3 linked regions of the Rattus norvegicus genome follow. The protein of the gene in region 3 interacts with the protein of the main gene of each other region in a pairwise test. Links are inferred from orthologs where the notes say so. Each region holds a gene or a part of one and is shown on either strand. Other genes may lie near its edges.

The links.
Region 1: the proteins of Krt40 (region 3) and Wt1 interact in binary tests that used the Homo sapiens proteins (3 or more experiments, as listed by UniProt). The two-hybrid records come from large-scale screens. The link is inferred for Rattus norvegicus from reciprocal best matches to the Homo sapiens genes KRT40 and WT1.
Region 2: the proteins of Krt40 (region 3) and Zbtb16 interact in binary tests that used the Homo sapiens proteins (3 or more experiments, as listed by UniProt). The two-hybrid records come from large-scale screens. The link is inferred for Rattus norvegicus from reciprocal best matches to the Homo sapiens genes KRT40 and ZBTB16.

The regions. Positions count from the first base shown.
Region 1 is NC_086021.1:112,023,252-112,029,488, reverse strand, and holds part of Wt1 (Wilms tumor protein homolog), read right to left. Parts: exon of another isoform or gene 3,744-6,237; coding exon of another isoform or gene 3,722-3,743; intron 3,684-3,721; exon of another isoform or gene 3,386-3,683; coding exon of another isoform or gene 3,376-3,385; intron 1,538-3,375; coding exon 1,415-1,537; intron 1,025-1,414; coding exon 922-1,024; intron 1-921. UniProt on the Homo sapiens protein: Transcription factor that plays an important role in cellular development and cell survival. Recognizes and binds to the DNA sequence 5'-GCG(T/G)GGGCG-3'. Regulates the expression of numerous target genes, including EPO.
Region 2 is NC_086026.1:57,897,674-57,903,910, forward strand, and holds part of Zbtb16 (zinc finger and BTB domain-containing protein 16), read right to left. Parts: intron 1,908-6,237; coding exon 1,737-1,907; intron 1-1,736. UniProt on the Homo sapiens protein: Acts as a transcriptional repressor. Transcriptional repression may be mediated through recruitment of histone deacetylases to target promoters. May play a role in myeloid maturation and in the development and/or maintenance of other differentiated tissues.
Region 3 is NC_086028.1:84,994,312-85,000,606, reverse strand, and holds the start of Krt40 (keratin, type I cytoskeletal 40), read left to right. Parts: upstream 1-1,708; coding exon 1,709-2,155; intron 2,156-3,493; coding exon 3,494-3,576; intron 3,577-3,882; coding exon 3,883-4,039; intron 4,040-4,938; coding exon 4,939-5,100; intron 5,101-5,175; coding exon 5,176-5,301; intron 5,302-6,295. UniProt on the Homo sapiens protein: May play a role in late hair differentiation.

The sequences.
Region 1 (6,237 bases), on a different chromosome or scaffold from region 3:
TGCGCACCCAATCCTCTACAGCCAAGACAAGGCGCTCAGCACCTTCCAGGCTGTCATGGACCGGTGTGTGTGCATCGCAGTTGCTAAGCAACGCTATCTGCGACGCGGGATGCCCGCCAAGTTCACCCAAAGTTGAAGAATAAATTTGGGTAAGAAAAGGTGGAAAGTGGAACTAGAGACCAGAGAAGGGGGAGGGAGCAGAGTTTAAATGAGGAAAAAAGTTCCTTCTCCCCGAAGCAAGAAGGTTTGCGTGCCTGCGCATCTTCGTGATCACAGTCTCGAGCAAAGGGTCTAGCCCCGGAGCGCACACAGGGCAGCCACAAAACAAGTCTACGAAACACTGTCACGGGCCAAAACTCTAGAGGGCAAGGGTGAGAGGAAGGATGTGGCCCACTCTTTAAGTAGTTTGGCCTGTGTGGCCAGTTGACGCGGAAGCTTTTAACTAGATGGACAGAGTTGGAGTGGACTTGGTCCTTAAATTTTTTTTTTCTTTTTGTCTTGGGGAAGTTAAAGGGCTCCCAGCAAAGACCATTAAGAAATAACGCATGACCGGGCATGATGGCGCATGCCTTTAATCTCAGCACTCGGGAGACTGAGACAAGCGGATCCCTCAGTTCGAGGCCAGACTGGTCTACAGAACTACCAGGACACACAGAAAAATCCTGTCTCGAAAAACCAAAGAAAAGAAACCCCCAAAGCAGCAGTTTCCTTTTTATCACCAAACACAGTGACCTTCGTTTATATGCAAAACAACAAACCAAGGCACCTGCTTTCTTTAAACTGAGTGTCTAGGCTTAAAGAAGACTTCGTTTGTCTCCCGCTGTCAGCGATGCCCAGAGTCAGGCGTTCCGTCGCCGCCGCAGGCTCACCTGCGCCTCCCGGATCTCCAGGCCTTAGCCCCGGTGCTCTGCACCTTCTTACCTGCTGTAGGGCGTCCTCAGGAGCAGGGCCTGGCTGCCTGTGCAACTGTCGGTAGGGGTGTGGCAGCCATACACTGGAGGTGGCACCGAGTACTGCTGCTCGCCTGCCAGAGAGCCAAGGGCAGCAGTGAGCGGGACCCGAGAGTGTGAGGCACAGGCAGGGGTTCTGGTGTGGAGTGGGGGAGCTTGCTGAGCCTCGGACAGAGAGGTCAGCTGTGTGACTTGGGGCTCGCGACTCAAGGACTACTTCTTCACTTTAGGTTGCATCGCAGTCACTATCTAGCATTGGAAGCCTTGCCTGAGGGACGTTTTTCCTTAGTGTACTTTGAACGGAAGGAGATTCGATCTTTCAAATAGAGTAAAACAAGCTAGTATTTCTAAAATCCCTTTTGCTGTCTCGCTTTCCCAGTTTGCTAGGAATTCAAAATTTGGGTAAGATGCGGTAATATAGATGGAGACATCCGGTAAAACCGGCTTTTTCCCCACCCACTTACCCAGCGAGCCCTGCTGGCCCATGGGGTCCTCGTGTTTGAAGGAATGATTGGGGAACTGCGCTGCATGGTGCGAGGGCGTGTGGCCATAACTGGGTGCCCCGTCGAAAGTGACCGTGCTGTATCCTGAAGAAGAGGCACAAAGAAGCACAGAGTCAATTAGGTTCCTGAAAAGTCAGGGACATTGGCAGGACTCGAACCCGGGTGGCAGCGAGTACCCGATCTCCGAATTCGCATCAGCAGTAGAGTCGTCCTCTGTCGTCCCCTGTAGTCCCCTGCCATCCCAGCCACCACCACTACCCCCTCCGCCCTCTAGAACTTCAGACTTGAAGCGGGGACGGGGCAGGGGGGCCCGGGGGGTGCACCAAACTTTGTGGTGGAAACTAATCCCATCCTCTTTCCCGAATAAAATCCCCAACTCCGCGCCTTTCCCCAATTCTTCTGTGCCTGTCTTCCACTGTTGAATAGAACCTCCAGCAAGTTGGGTGTAAAAACCGTCGCCCGCCTGGCGGAGAAACTGTCTTTCTTAAAAAACAAACAACACCGTGGCTCTCACGCTGGGGCGGCTCGGCCCAGAGGACCGGGTTTCCTCCGCTGACCCCGCTTTGACTCAGGGCTGTAAATCAAGGGCCCGCGCACCAGCTTTCATTAATTACTCTGAGCCAGTTCAACGGTCTGCGCTTTAAATGGACAGAGTAATTACCAGGGCATGTTACCTCTCTGGGCTGCACAGCCTGACACCAAGACACCCAAAGCCTTCAGGAAAGCTTGTAGGGGCGGGGGCGGGCACGACCCTTCCAGTTAGGTCGAATCCTTCTGTCCCTCCTACCCTTACCTGGAGCCTAGGGGGCCCAGTTCTGTCCACTGCTGTGGTGACCAACCTTCTTGCCCTACAGGTCAGGACACTGTCCCTAACACTATCCCTGTGTAGCAGTGTTTCAGCCCCTTGCCTCAGTTTCCCTGCTGAGAAGCTGAGGCTGGTGATGATCAGTCCTAGCTCTCCAATGGATGAAAACCAACCAAGAGTCTTGAAATTCCATATTCTTTCACGGTATTGTTACGAAGTTTCTATAAACACATTTCCCATCTGTTTGCCAAATCTCAAGTTCTTGTGGACGCCCTCATCTTAAAAATCCTTCTAGGGACTTAATTGGGGTAGGGCCTTCTCCTCCTCCCCTCCTGGTGAAGGGGGAACCAGGACTTGCAGGATAGAATGCCAATAAGCGCTGGTCCTCACAGAGTGGCTACTCCCCCTCCCTTCAGGGCCATCCTGCAGTAGCCCCGGTGGCTTCCTACTGCGCAGTCTCTAAATCCCAATAAATTCTAGGAAGTAACCACCTGAAGTGAAAATTTCTGGTTTCTTTGGAGACTCAGTTATGTCATGTGATGTTTTTAACCCACCAGTTGATCGAGGTTCTTCAATAAGAGTCGCTGAGACCCTTCATTCAGTACACAGACAGTTATCTCCAATTTCAAAATACAGAGGTGACTCCCACTGTCCAGACAAAAACCCGGCCTTCATTCCTATCGGGATTGCTCCGGAGCAGTCGATGTACTCTACCGATGGTGGCGCTTTACAGTGAAGGGGAGTGATGGGATACCATAGGAATCACCAAGCTGTACCTTGGAAGGCGTTGAGTGCCCCGGAGAACTCTGGTTAGTGACTGAGGAATCAGCCAGCTTTTCAACCTGGGTGAGCGAGTCCTTTACTTCTGAAGCAAGGAAAGATAATCCCCAACCCTAATAACTCTTGGGTGTGGATTAAAAAGTATATATAGCCTTCCAGAGTCTCCCTTTTGAGAAATGAAGCCTGGCTCTGCTTGAGGCCTACAGCTTACAATCAAAATTTGGGTCCAGGCACCCACCCGAGTGTTCCCAGGAGAAATACGGGAGTTTGTGGAAGAATCCTTAAACAAAACAGGGGGAAAGAGGTAGAGCAATAAAGAAATTGTCTCTAAACGAACCCTTCTCCATTCCTGAGCCGAGTAGCCAATGATCTCAGGCCACGCAAAATCTCAGACCCGCTGCTCAATCGCTGGTAACGAGAGCTGCTAGTGCCCGGGCTGCAGCTCCCACGCCAGGGACCTCGGCTCCGCGGTCCGGAACCCCGGCTCGAGGAAGCGGGCGTCCAGCAAGGCTTCTTACCCTCCTTCCCATAGATGACACCCGCAAACCTCGGCCGGCAGAGGCAACCTTGAGCCCCTCCCTCGGGTCTTCTGGGAGGGGCAGCAGTGAAGCAGCAGGAACGCAGGGAGAGCTCTTTTAATTAGAAGCTTATCAGAGCTCGGGCTGATTAGGAACCCGCTGTACCTGGGGACTGAGCTGAGCCCATCTCGAAGAGGGCGGGAGTGGGGGTCGGCGGAAAGATTGCTGACTTCGCGAAGTTTCAGAGTGTTCAAAGGCTTCTTGTCCAGGCCTCGGAGGGAAAGGCCCTCGCAGCCAAGGTAGCCACTTTCCCACGGTTGATCTGGACCAGGGAGGGGAGAGCAACCTTGACATTGTTGGAAGGAGAATAAGGCTCTGAGCTCTCCCCTGCCTCCGCTGCGGAGGAGCCCAGAACAGGCTGCTCCAGCCAGGCCCTGGAGAGCTGAGGGGGAGATCCTACAGCAGGCTAAGCCTGGAAGGTGTTCCGGAAAACCCAGCTGCCAAAGGATAGGTGGAGTCCTCACTCCCACCCAACTACTGTCTTTGATATGACCGGAGGGGGGCGCCTTTGGCCCCATCACAGCAGGTCTCCCGTCACCGACCATCAGGGCAGAGATCTCCAAGGCCCAGGCTATCACTGTTAGGAGAACTACAGGGCTAGAGTGGGACGGGGGTCAGAAGCTGACTGGCAAGCCCTGCATTGGGTCCAGACTAGGAAAATCCTCACCCCCACTTCTGCGTTCTGACAGACTTCCTAACCATCTTACACTCACAAGTTCAGGACCTATTCATCTGGGCAGAGAAAACCCATTTCAGCCAGAGAGCCAAAATTTCTGGGAGAAAACAAGAGAAAAAAAAATGTCATACCTCTGCCACGAACTAAGAGGACTCTTAAAACCCTAATCTCTGAGTGACTGGATTTAGGCTCCCAGTGTTAAGAGGCTCCTTAGATCTCAGTGCTTCTTGTGAAGATTCCTATAGCCACTAGCTGTCTTAATCGGTAATCTACAACCCCACTGACCCCACCGAGTAAGATTTGCTTTTTGCTAAATTAATCTTTACAAGATTATGATGTCAGCTATATAAGAAATGGCTGTGTGTGTGAATGTCCTTAAGAAACGGAGGAAGGAAGGAAGGAAAGTGTCACAGTTGCTCTCCCAGGCTTGCCAACAGGTAACCAGAGATAGCTTGAATTCCTCTGACAGCCGAGTCTGGAGCAAGCTGGTGGCCATGTTCACACTTTCCAGGGACAGAAGACAACTTCTCCTAAGCAAAAGCTCCAAACTATATCCTACATTGCTGAAAGGATCCATAGGAACTCCTAAAATAAAGGAATGAATATTCAAAGAACTTCGGGTCTTGAGGGTCCCTCCTAGTTGCCTTGGGGGATGGGGTGGGTAAGCAGCTCCATGCTCACCACTTCAGATCCCAGGAGGCAAGGGAACCCACAGGGGCCACCTGCATGACCCACTCCTTTTAACTAGGAAAGAAAAAGCCAAGTTTCCTGACGGGAACCTGCTTCCAGGGTATGTCCCTGCACGGAAGACATCTCCCCATTGGCCTTCTCTTGGTTTGAGAAGAGCTGGTGTGGTGGGAAGCTTTCGCCAGTTCTCATTTTCCAAGCTTTCTCGCTTCTGTAGTAGCCTGACCTGTCTACTCCAGAAGAATCTGGATGCCCACCCCTAACACCTCAAGTGCACTGGCAATGCCCTCCCGATTTAAATTCTCAGCCCCACCCACCTTCAACAATGGGTTTCTTCTACTAGACGCGCAGCACAGAGTGCTAAGCCTCACAGGGAGCCTAGAAAGTCTCAAAAAGATAGTGGTCCATTAGAATTTGCTGGCCAGGGGGGTTATAGGTCTGTGAGAGCCTCTCCAAATAACAGGCATGCTCACTCTCGACATACACATGCTTGACAGTGGCTCCTTTTCTGATCCAGGGAGGTGTGGTCGGATTGTATGTTCTGTATTTACACTCTGGTCAGATTTCCTCCTGTTTGGCCTATAACTTCTGGCCTAACCCAAACTCCTGGCTGTCCATCTCAGTTCTCCTCTTGGAGGCGAGCAAAGTGACCTGGAGGTTTGCCAAAGGTAACACCTACCTACTAGAAAGTGATGGCAAGATCCAAGAGCTTCTGCGAAGGCACCAAGTTCTTCCCCCAACATCTCTAGTTCAAAACTCTAGTTTCATTTACCAAAGACCTAAAATGGACCCCCAGTCCGCTCCAATTTTCTCCTCAAGTCCCTGTTCTTCAGTGGTTTCGGTTTCACTAGGGCTTCGGGTGGTCGAGCGGCTCCAGGCTGGGTTCAAAAGGCCCTGGAGAGACCTTGGGCACCTTCTGCATCTTCCCCTAAGGGTGCGGGCTCTCCTTCCCCCTTTCCCACACATTTCAAAAACACCCAGATCAAGGACATCAGAATTTTTGGCCCAAGAAAAGCATGTGTCAGAAAAGGTTTTCCTAAAACATCCACTCAAACGAAATTCGATTCTCAACAGCAAAGAAATCAAATGAGAACAAACGAAGAAAGCGACAGCGGCTTAGGAACCATGGTTCCACCAGGGTGCTAACGAAAGAGAGGTGTAGGGGCTCCTGTGAGAATTAAAAATTAGACTCGTATATTAACTGAAGATCCGCCAATACACTTGTTCTTGTTTCTACATCCAAAGCCTTATGAAATCA
Region 2 (6,237 bases), on a different chromosome or scaffold from region 3:
GAGACAGGGGTGTGAGTAAAGTAAGCTGCATCCTGGGTGGACTTCATAGGACTTGAGCCATTCATATCATGTGACGTCAAGTGACTTGATCCAGTGGCATAACTGGAGGTAGCTAAAGGAGGCTGGGCTAAGACTGATCCATCGAGAGAATCATTGATGGGATGATGATGATGATGATGATGATGATGATGATGATGATGATGATGATGATGATGTGTGACTGTGACTGTGTGTGTGTGTGTGTGTGTGTGTGTGTGTGTGTGTGTGTGTGTGTGTGTGTGTGTCTTACAGGGAGGTCCTTGTGCAGACACCATAGGGAGAGTTGTTGAATATACCCCTTTCTCTTTGGTCCCTCTTGCTGGACCTTACCTGCTAAGACTTCCTCCTTTCTATGGAGCAGCCCTAGGCAGATCTAACCATCTGGTGAGCCTTTCCCATTTGATAATGATACGGCGCTGTGCTCCTCTGACTAGCATGGTATCCAGAACCCAGAGCTAAGGCAGGCTCCTTGGTGAGAATGGTGATGACTGGCTGGACCGTACAGCTCAGCTCCTGAAAGTAAAACTCCTTCTTCATTCATCAGAGCCGGTCATCCATTTAAAGGGAGCCACATACTCCTTTCCTCAGCTATGAAAAGGCTCTTGAGAATGAGAAGTTCTTCCAGGCTTCCCTGAAGCGTGCAGAGCATTTATGTTGTGGATGTATTCCACTATATCCTTACAGAGAGACTTGATCAGCTCTCCCGCAAAACCAGATCAGGAACACACACACACACACACACACACACACACACACACACACACACACATATACAGAGAGAGAGAGAGAGAGAGAGAGAGAGAGAGAGAGAGAGAGAGAGAGAGAGAAACAGACAAGACAGATATGCAATTCAGGAATTGGCATTCTTTCACTCAGGGACAGTAAGACATGATCTCATTTTGTTTTAGAGCAAAGAAAGGAGTTAAATCATTTATTCCTCAGATAGGAAAAGACCAACAGCTCCTTCAAGGCCCTCTGAACTGGGTATCCTATCTCCTAAAGCAAGAGGGTGGTGGCAAGGATAGGCCAGGACTGGGCAACTAAGCCCGCCTACGTGACTCACATATACTCTGTCTTTCACTCCATCGTGTGAACTGGCTGGGCAGGGCTATCTCATGCTCAAATACTCATTGTCTTCCCTAGAGAACATTACGGTCACAGTGAGACCTCCTGTGTCTGCTATGGAGGTGGGATGTGTTCCTCACTGTATCCTCTGGAGCCTTGAGCTGACCCTCACTGCTGTTCTAGGATGGATTGGGGGAAATCGTGGGATTGTAATAGTTAGGCCAGTTTTTCTCAAAATGCAATTTGCAACTCCCCACCTCCACTATCAGAATCCCCTGGGAATACTCACTAGTGGTGTTGAGAGCTAGAGCCCACCCCGAACCACAGAACCAAAGATTCCGAGGGTAAACCTCAAGAGTACGCTTTTCTTTTAATGAATATTTTCTGTGCTGTGTGTGGAAAGATTGGGAACAGATGTCTACAGGTGGAGGGGTGGGTGGTAGATTGGGAAAACTGACAACATTTAAATGTTCTATGGGAGCCCTTCTGTGTCTAACTTCAAGCAGAGAATGGCTGAGAATGCTTCAACCTGAAACATCCTCCCCCCTGCACACAAACACCATGTATTTTTGGAGGTGAAGCCCAGATATAAGGTCCAGAGATGCTCCCACCCATCCCCTGGACCAGCCTACCTGTATGTGAGCGAAGGTGGCGCTTGAGAGCCGTGTGGCTGGGGAAGGTGCGGTTGCACTCGCTGCAGATATAGCTGCGCACGCCTGCGTGGACCTCCATGTGTTGCTGGAGTGCACTCTGTGCCTGAAAGCGCTTCCCACACAGCAGACAGAAGACAGCCATGTCCGTGCCTGGAGGAGACAGCAATGGGAGAGCTTCAGCAACTTAGAGACCCAAGGCCAGATCTTCATCCCTGAAGGCTGGGGCAAGACCCAGAGCCGCCCCTAGAAACCCTAAACCCCACACTCTAAGTCAAACTGCCTTGGGCAACCCAGGCCACGTGACGTTGACGGAGCACCCTGAACGTAGCTTAGAGGAAAGGTGCCAATGGTGCCCTGCCTCCATGAGACCTAAAGGCTTGGAGAGAAGCATAGAAAACCACGTGGATGGTAACACAGATGTGTCTCTGCAAGGGTCTGAGTGCAATGCAGGAGAAGCTGGCGGACTAAAGGTGTGACCACGGGGACTTACAGAGTCTGAGGCAGCAGTGGAAAGACAGGTTAGACTCTAGGTGAACCAACAATAACCTGGATCAGATGGGTTGGCCATTGTTATGACATAACTCACCTAAAACCACAAACCTCATATAAGGAGAGAGAAGCACAGGGAGATTAACCCACACCAATTTCCATAGGGTTCCCAGTTGGGAGCAGCAAAGGGATCTATTCACTTATTCCCTAGGGTTACCTGTAGACCACTGTCCTCCCCTCCCCTCTCCCTACCCCTGAGACAGAATTTCTTTGTGTAGTCCTGGCTGTCCTGCAACTCTATCTGTAGACCAGGGCTGGCCTTTTACTCAAAGATCTGCCTGCTTCTGCATCCTGAGCGCTGCAGTTCAAGTACGGCGTGCTGCCACTGCCGTCTCCCCCACCAACCCCACCGCCCACCACCGCTGCCACCAGTGACCACGTTCTTACAACCACTTTCCCATTTAGGAAATCAGGCATCTTGAGAGCCACTTCATAAATAGTACTGTTGATACTTCCTACAAGGAAGACTCTCTGGGGTTCTGGAGATGAAACAATGGAAGAGTGTACTAGTCCCTGCTCTGATCTCAACACCACCCAGCACACAGTGCACCAAGTCTTTGAACACTCAGGGAGAGCCACACCAGGTTGAGTACGATGTCCAGTCCTAACTTTAGAAGCAGGGAGGATGTGAAAGGAAGAGCTGGGAGCCAGATCATGTGGGTCCTGCCCAGCCATACTGCAAGCCCTGGGGTTCATCCTAAGACCAATGGGAAGCTGTTGAAGGATTTCAAACTAGTGAGTCATATGAAATATTCATTCAGTTCTACCTAGTCACATGCTTGGCTGGCCCAGTAGCCTAGGTGCCCTACTGAAGCCCACGAAGGCAGGCTGCTATTTTCCACTCCTCAAAACCTTCCTGACACAGTCTTCCAGCTGAGTCTCAGTTCATAGCTCCTTGCCTGCCATTTTGGAGTCCATGTCTCTAAGAACATTAGCTCCCAACACAAGCCCATCTGCTTTTCTCTCTGCCCATATTTGGATGGCATGGTCTGTGCTCAGTCCCACAGTGCTGTCTCCTAGGTGAGGGACACTAACAAAAAAGGTAGTCAGGTCAGATCTGCCAGTCTAGTCCAAAGAGGAAAGGGCACGAGAGCATTTGGGCTGCTGAAAGTCTTGGGCTGCTCAGGGTGGCATGAGAAGCTCCCGGGGACAGGTAAGGGAGGAAGGAAAGGGACAGGAAGAGCTTTGCTGCCTCCCTGACTAGCAATGGCAACAGCAAGTGGGAGGGCTGGGTCTTGCTTCCTCAGGACCACACACGGCTCAGTCTAGACCAACACCATCCTCTCTCTTCTCTCTTCTCACATTTAACCACTGGCTCCTGTCTTTGCAGACACCGAAACTACCTGCAGCCATGCTTGTCTACCAACAGCCAGGAGGGCTGCATGGCAGAAGAACCGTCCACCTCCTCAAAGGTGTGTGTGTGTGGGCAGGGGGACAGGGACTAAAGACCACCATTTCAGCTAGGTCTTTATCTGTGCTGTCACCACATTTAAAACATGCATCCCTACCAGACAGGCATCCTTCCCACCTTCTTCCAAAGAGGAAAATAGAGATTAAATAACTTGCCTAAGGTCACACAGTGAGAAAGAGGCAGAGCAGGGAATCTAGAAAATGCCTTGGTCCGTTTGATTCTAGAAAACACCAATTGAATCCCATTTATCTATTTATCTTTAGGTTTTAGTCTGTGTAGCCGTGTACCTTTGTATGGTATACGGGTGTGACGGGGTGTTTGGAGGCCAGAGGTTAACATCAGGATGGCTCTCCATCTATTTTTTTTATCTGTATATATATATTTATATTTATATAAAAAGACCAATAATAGCAGTGTGTTATGCATCAACAGCAGCAACAGCTTTTCCAGGTTCTGCAGTCATCTGAACAAAACTGTAGAGACATCCAGCACACTCCATTAAAAAAAAAAAAAGTAAAAAAACAAAACCCGAGAAAACAGCACAGTTCTGTTACTCTTGTGGTACCTGGCACCATTTTTTTTTAAATTAGCTTCTCAATCATCATCTGGAAAGAAAACTTTCTGAGCAACATCATTAAAAACAGCTCTGATAAAGCACGGTCACTACTACGTATCATAAAGCAGGTACGAGCTATTTTACATCCACAGAGGTATGATACAGTACTGTCCTACATCTATAATACTAGAGGATACAATTTAAAAGGCATTATTTGAGACTTGATTCTACTTCTCCAGCAGAGGGCCCAAAGGATGGTGTGACACAGCTTTGTAAAGAAACATACTCTAGACAGGATTTCCTTTCACTAGTGGCACACTTCTAAGGATTCATTCTCTCCATGAATGTCAGCTAAAACCGTTATTAAAAAATGAAATATCCCTAGAACAAAACTGTATAACCACCGGATTCCCATGAAGATGACCTAGTGGAGACAAGCTGGACCTCACCTTACCAACAAGCTATCAAATCTGTTATGTTTAAACAGTGAGACCTCCAAGGAAGGAGATGCCAAGTAGTGCTTCAAAGCTTCGGACCACAATCAAACACAGCATCCTTTTCAACAGAAGCAGAAGCTCATCTGAATATGCTCATGGATGCTGACATCAACATTTAATCATCTCCTCACTCATCCAGGAAGAGGGGGAGATCAGTTACTACTGTACTTTATTGTGTTCAACCAAATTACCATGTTACAAAAATAGCAAGCTGCCATAATAAAAAATAAGGCTCCTCTATCCAGCACCAAATAGCATCATTTTACTTTCAAGCCTAGAAATTGCACACTTGTATATAAACCAATCGAAGATGAGGATTGAGAGTTCATCTTGGTGGATTTTTCCTTTGATGAATATGAAGTGTCCTTCCTTATCTTTTTTGATGACTTTTAATTGAAAATTGATTTTATTTGATATTAGAATGGCTACTCCAGCTTGCTTCTTCTGACCATTTGCTTGGAAAGTTGTTTTCCAGCCTTTCACTCTGAGGTAGTGTCTGTCTTTGTCTCTGAGGTGTGTTTCCTGTAGGCAGCAGAATGCAGGGTCCTCATTGCGTATCCAGTTTGTTAATCTATGTCTTTTTATTGGGGAGTTGAGGCCATTGATGTTGAGAGATATTAAGGAATAGTGATTATTGCTTCCTGTTATATTCATATTTGGATGTGAGGTTATGTTTGTGTGCTTTCATTCTCTTTGTTTTGTTGCCAAGACGATTAGTTTCTTGCTTCTTCTAGGGTATAGCTTGCCTCCTTATGTTGGGCTTTACCCTTTATTATCCTTTGTAGTGCTGGATTTGTAGAAAGATATTGTGTAAATTTGGTTTTGTCATGGAATATCTTGGTTTCTCCATCTATGTTAATTGAGAGTTTTGCAGGATACAGTAACCTGGGCTGGCATTTGTGTTCTCTTAGGGTCTGTATGACATCTGTCCAGGATCTTCTGGCCTTCATAGTTTCTGGCGAAAAGTCTGGTGTGATTCTGATAGGTCTGCCTTTATATGTTACTTGACCTTTTTCCCTTACTGCTTTTAATATTCTTTCTTTATTTTGTGCGTTTGGTGTTTTGACAATTATGTGACGGGAGGTGTTTCTTTTCTGGTCCAATCTATTTGGAGTTCTGTAGGCTTCTTGTATGCCTATGGGTATCTCTTTTTTTAGGTTAGGGAAGTTTTCTTCTATGATTTTGTTGAAGATATTTACTGGTCCTTTGAGCTGGGAGTCTTCACTCTCTTCTATACCTATTATCCTTAGGTTTGATCTTCTCATTGAGTCCTGGATTTCCTGTATGTTTTGGACCAGTAGCTTTTTCCGCTTTACATTATCTTTGACAGTTGAGTCAATGATTTCTATGGAATCTTCTGCTCCCGAGATTCTCTCTTCCATCTCTTGTATTCTGTTGGTGAAGCTTGTATCTACAGCTCCTTGTCTTTTCTTTTGATTTTCTATGTCCAGGGTTGTTTCCATGTGT
Region 3 (6,295 bases):
CTGTAGATTTTAATCTAAGTCACACCCATCTCGGAAAGATCTCCTGCTAGTTTTTAGCTTCTCCTATGTTGGCTCCTGACAACACATGCCTTTTATCAAATCATTCAGGAGACAGATTCAGGTAGATTAATATGAGTCAGAAGCCAGCCTAGTCTACACAGTGAATTCCAAGTCAGCCAGAGTTATGTAGAGAAATCTGTCTCAAAAATGATAATAAGGAAATAAAAAGCAATCTAAGACACTCAACATTAATGTCTACTTTCCACATACATGCATATCCATGCATACACACACACACACACACACACACACACACACACATACACACGCACAGTGGACTTTTATTGATGCTGAAAGCAATTTTCTCTGTGTAATTTTTGAAAGTGAAATAAAAACCACAATTAAAATCAGACAACATGAAACTCCAGTTTATAGTTATAGTAGAGGTGAGATCCTAGAACCAATGTCCATCTAGTTCTGTACCAGAGGTTCTTAACTCAGTGAAACTGTTAGCTGAAACAGACATCACATAATCATATTCCCAACATCCAAATATTTTTCATTTTCATGAAATTGAGACTTTCCTAAATAAAAAAGAGGAGACAGACTCCATATTTTTTTAAAAGTAAGATTTTTGTGGCTTCCTTGGCTCTATTCCCAAGTATAATGGGTAAGGAGCTCCGTCACAGATTACAGCTAAACCCTCATTGCAATTTCTCTCTCTGCTCTCCTTAATATAGGTAAGGACTGGGACTATAGGTTGAGGTAAATCAATTATGTGCCATGAACAATACCTTATGATTGATCTCCAACTTCAAAGGAAGGAAGAAGGGAGGGAAGGACGGAAGGAAAAAGAAAGAAAGACTGCTTTTCAAAAACAGCATAACGCTTCTAAAATGTAAACATGAGAAAGCAAAGCTTGCGTGTCTGACTATCCACTCAGTGCACATCCAATCTCACCAACTAAGCAGGGTTAGGCATGCTTAGTGCTTGGCTACAGACCACAAATTCTAGATGACCAAAGATCGCAATTCAGATCTTGATAACCAATTCATAGTTTGACTCAATTATTCTCATCAGTCTATAAAATGAATGCACATAATTTGCACTCAGCATAGACCTTTTCCTGTACCATGTAAGCACATACTTCAAACTCACTAAAAAAAAGACACTTCAAGATTGAGATTGCTAACCGCCATTTTTACAGTGGTTGGTAGCACAAACAAATACAATTTAATAAGCTGTGATGTCCATTTGTAAAGTAGACAAGAGCAATCAATTTTCAAAATCAAACCCTGTTGGAATATTACTTTCTGTATCTCCAATGATCTCTACCTTTAATTACTGATGGCTCGATTTTTTTCTTTGGTTCCTTATTCATTCAAAAAGGTAGTGCTTCCTATGGCCGTTTGCTGAAATAAGAATTTTTATCCAAGCAGCATGTGGAAATGGCGTTAGTCCTGATTTAGTAACCTGAAGTTATCCTCCTTTTACGAGGCATACAACTTCCTCCGTAAATAATCAACACTAATGAGATGTTTGTAGGAAAGCTGGCATCTGCAAGGCTAGAGAAAACATCGGTGTGTCCTGTAAACACTCATTTGAAGGGAGATATAAAAGTCTCAGGAAGCCAAAAGTCCTAGACCTTTGGGAGACTAGGCGAGACCTAAGCAATACACCATTCAATCTGTTCATTCCTTCTCAGAAGATGGCTTCCGAAGGCTCCCCTGACTGCTGCTCTTCTGAGCCCTATGCAGGGGCATCGAGCTGCACAACTGCCTCATTCTGCCCCACCAGCACAACTTACCTTCCCAGCACCTGCGCCACATCCAGATGTCAAACCCCGAGCTTCCTCTGCAGGGCTCACCTCCCGGCCGGTTGCCTCTCACCGTGCTACTTGACTGGCGGTTGTAACAGTCCTTGCCTGGTGGGGAACTGTGCATGGTGTGAAGAAGGGACGTTCAACAGTAATGAGAAGGAGACCATGCAGTTCCTGAATGACAGATTGGCCAGCTACCTAGAGCGGGTGAGAAGCCTGGAAGAGAACAATGCAGAGCTGGAGTGCAGGATCCGAGAGCAATGTGAGCCCGATGCCACACCGGTCTGCCCGGATTATCAGCGGTACTTTGACACCATTGAAGAGCTACAACAAAAGGTTGGGTGTCTCACTGCCCTAATGTTTCCCAATGTTCTCTGTTTTCCAATTCTGTTTTCTCTCATAGCTGTACTAGGGCAGGTTGCTTTGTGGATGTAAAACAAAGGAAAGGGGGATTCCCAGAGTTAGTTCAAATAATCAATCTCATTCTCAGAGAATTATTGGGTGACTATAGAAATGTCACCTTGCTGTAGACTTTGTCTACACTGTGAAGGAAATTGAGTTATGACGTCTTCTAAACCCCATTCTTCATGTATCATTGCGTGTTTATATTCTTTATCAAACAGATATTGAATGCCATCCATTTGAGTTCTGGAAATCGTTCTCTATTTGTGTGTATGTGTGCAAAATGTGGGGTTGGTGGGCGACGTGATATATGATCGTGTGGGGAGGGAACACATGCCTGAGTGTGGGTAAGGAGGTCTGGGGTCCATGGCAAGTACCTTGCGTTCCTCGCCTTGTTTTTGAGACAGAGTCTCTTCTTGAAACTGGAACTCACTGATTTAGCTGCAGTCCCTGAGGCCTGGCCAGGGAGCCCCAGGGATCTTACTGTTTCCACCTCCTTAGTACCAGGGGTTAACCGACACTGAGTATTATACTTACCTTTTTCACATGAGCTCTGTGAGATTGAACCCAGATCTTCCTACTCGTGTTTCAAACCCTTGACCAACAAAGCCACTTCTCCTTTTTTAATTGATGGATTTCTGTGACCACAGAGATGCAATTCTAACAAACACTAGCAGTGTGGGAAACTTCAACAAAGCTCAAAAGCCAGTGATGGTGACAAAATGCCCTGCATCACTGATAAAGGAAACCTTGAACCCCAGAGACGGCTCAGCAGTGATTAACAACATTGTACTGCTCATGAGCACCTGAGTTCAGTTCCTACCATCCAAGTGTGGCAGCTCACAAGCACCTAAAACTTCTCACCTTCTTCTCACTGCACAAGGCTACACTCTTACCAACATACAGACACACTCAAATGTGTACACTCTCATGTGCATACACATACTCTTAAATATACACGCTCACCTGCACATACACACACACACACACACACACACACACACACACACACACCTACACATACTAAGAAAGAAAAGGTGAAATCCTTCATTTTAGGAAGGGAAGGTCTTTTGCTTCTGTATTTTGTTTCTCAATTGGCACTGAATGTTTTTTTATTCTGTGAAGTGGCACAGTTAATAGGAATCATGGGTTGGAAGAGACATTATGTTAACTTGGAAAGACTTTCATAAACTAATGAGTGGCAAGGCTGTTAAAATAGATATGTGGATTTCTTCTAAAGAGCTCCTCACTAAATGATGACTTACCTCTTAGATATTGTGCACGAAGGCAGAGAATTCTAGACTTGCCGTGCAGGTGGACAACTGCAAACTGGCTGCCGATGATTTTAGGTCAAAGTAAGTCAAATTATGTTTATTTTGTTAAGCCACAGTGTGCTTTGTGTATGCAATTTACACGTTAAATTTTAAATTTAATTATAAAATAATAATTAACAATAATTAATGTCTTCCAGTAAGAGAGAAAATATTTTCTGCATAATATATATTTTTAACTGAGAATGTTTGAACCCTGAACTCACCTTCATTTGGAATGTAAGGAAAATTGAGGCGTGTGACTCTCTGGAGGCCATGTGTCATCCAACCCTGCATCCCAGTACTCTGAGCCAATTAAGCCACTTCCCTCCCTTTCTCCTACTCTGAAAGGTATGAGAGCGAACTGTCCCTGCGCCAGCTGGTAGAGAATGACATCAGTGGTCTTCGTGGGATCCTGGGTGAACTGACCCTGTGCAAGTCAGATCTGGAGGCCCATGTGGAGTCTCTGAAAGATGATCTACTTTGCCTTAAGAAAGACCATGAAGAGGTGAGTGGAGTGGCCGCTGGGCCAAAGACTATAGGAGGAGTTCTGTTGAGAAATCTCATGTGTATAAATTGAACAGGGACAGACACTGCCTATACTGGAACAAAACTAGAGACATTCTCACTGTGTAGCATGATTGCCCCAGTGTCTCTCAAGGTAGATGTGATGTACAGCATGCATCATTAACATAACCCTCATCAGTGGCACGGAGGTGAGGTCACTCTTTTTCCTGCCATTGCTTGGGTTGAGAAGTAACTCAACTCATGGTTTTTTCCATAGCTCTATTGTATAACAAGGAAATTGAGCTGATAAAACTGACTGTGTATCCCCTTCCAAAAAAGGGATAAACAATCACACAATACTTGGAATCATGTTTGTAGGTATTGTGTGTTTATAATTTGATTCTGTCATAAGCTATTAAAATGAGAAGCAGATTGATGTAACAAAGAAAAAATTTACTCTTTGAATATTTTGATGGTAACAATAGCTGGCAAGTGTGGATACCTTAGCTGGTAACAATAGTTGGCAATTATGGATACCTGAGCGTGTGTCATTAATTTTATAGATTTACTGTGTGTGTAGTAGTGTGTAGTAACTCTTCCCTGTCTCACAATAATCCTCTGGGAAAGGGTACAAAATTACACCTGTTTTGCAGACAAATAGCTGAAACATTTGGACCTAATAGAAAGAGTATAAGGGAAAATGACTCAGCAATTAAGAGTGCTGTTTGCTCTTCCAGAGGACCCAAGTTCAGCTTCCTGTACCCATGTCAGGGAGCTCACAACTGCCCATAACCCCAGCTCCATGTGGCATACAGACACACATAAATGTAAATTTTAAAAATCTTTCTTAAACAGAAGTAAACCCCACTCTGACATTCCTTACTCCATTTCCATTCTCAGGAGGTCAACTTGCTTCGTGAGCAGCTTGGAGATCGACTCAATGTGGAGCTGGACACTGCCCCCACTGTGGACCTCAACAAGGTCCTGGATGAGATGCGGTGTCAATATGAGAGGGTGCTGGCCAACAACCGCAGGGATGCGGAGGAGTGGTTCGCTGCTCAGGTCAGTGCCCTTGGGAAAGGGAAGACTTCGGGGAGGATGCCTTGCCTGAGCTCTCTAACAGGGCCTTTGTTTCAGACAGAAGAGCTGAACCAGCAGCAGATGTCCAGTGCAGAGCAGCTGCAGGGCTGCCAGACTGAGATGCTGGAGTTGAAGCGTACAGCCAACACTCTGGAAATTGAGCTCCAGGCACAGCAAACCCTGGTGCGTGGGATGAACAGTGCTAACCTTTGTCAGCAGCATCCCAGAGATGCTATGCTCTTTGACAGAAGTCCAGGGAGACACTCACAGTTCAGCCAATTAACCTAGCTGGCTTTTCCCTGTCTTTCTTCACAAACATTACTTACCCATATTGGAAGAATGACAGACCAACAGCCTTTGTGGTCTCACTGGTCCCCCTAAGCCTGAGCATGCCCCCCAGTAACATCCACGAGAGACAAGAAAAGTCTCAGAACACAGTGGGACAGGGAGAGGTGAGCCAAAGGCCCTTAAGCTTAACAATGGATTTTCATTTCCTTTAGTTTGATGAACATTTTTCCAGTTTCACCGTAGTGTCTAAAACAAACAAAAAACACATCAAGTTTCCAGTGTTCATACTACAGTTAAGATCTGCACATCACCACACTTCTTCCCCACCCACGCAACAAGAGCACCATGCAGTGAAAGTCACATATACCAGGTCCATCGGCAGCGCAGTATGTGTTGGACCACATCCAAGGAGTATACCTAGATGAACCTCACCTGAGCATTCATGTAGGAGAGGCATGGTGTAATCTATGGCAGACACCTTCGCTAGCCTGGTTGAACAGGTGGGAGGAAGCTAGGACCAAAGGAAGTAAGTGCCAGAACATTCTGCAGTTCTCCGTAGAAATGGAATCCTCTTGGTGGTTGAACCCCGATCTTACTTCATGGTACTGACACTGTGCAAATGCTCAGACTCAAGAGTTTCTTCCCAAGTGGTGACAACCCTCCTTGAGCTACCCAAAAGAGTCCTGGGTGACAAATGTTATAACGATAGAGGTGACACATTTAAAGGCCTTCAGTTGCTTCCAGGCACTGTTCCAAATGCTTCCCATATGTCAGCTCCTCTCACCTTCCCAGCTCCCCCATGACATAGGTACTCTGCATTCTCCATTGACTGCAGAATAAAACACACTCAGAGAAGTTAAGTAACTCACCCTAAGGTCTTGGAGCTAGA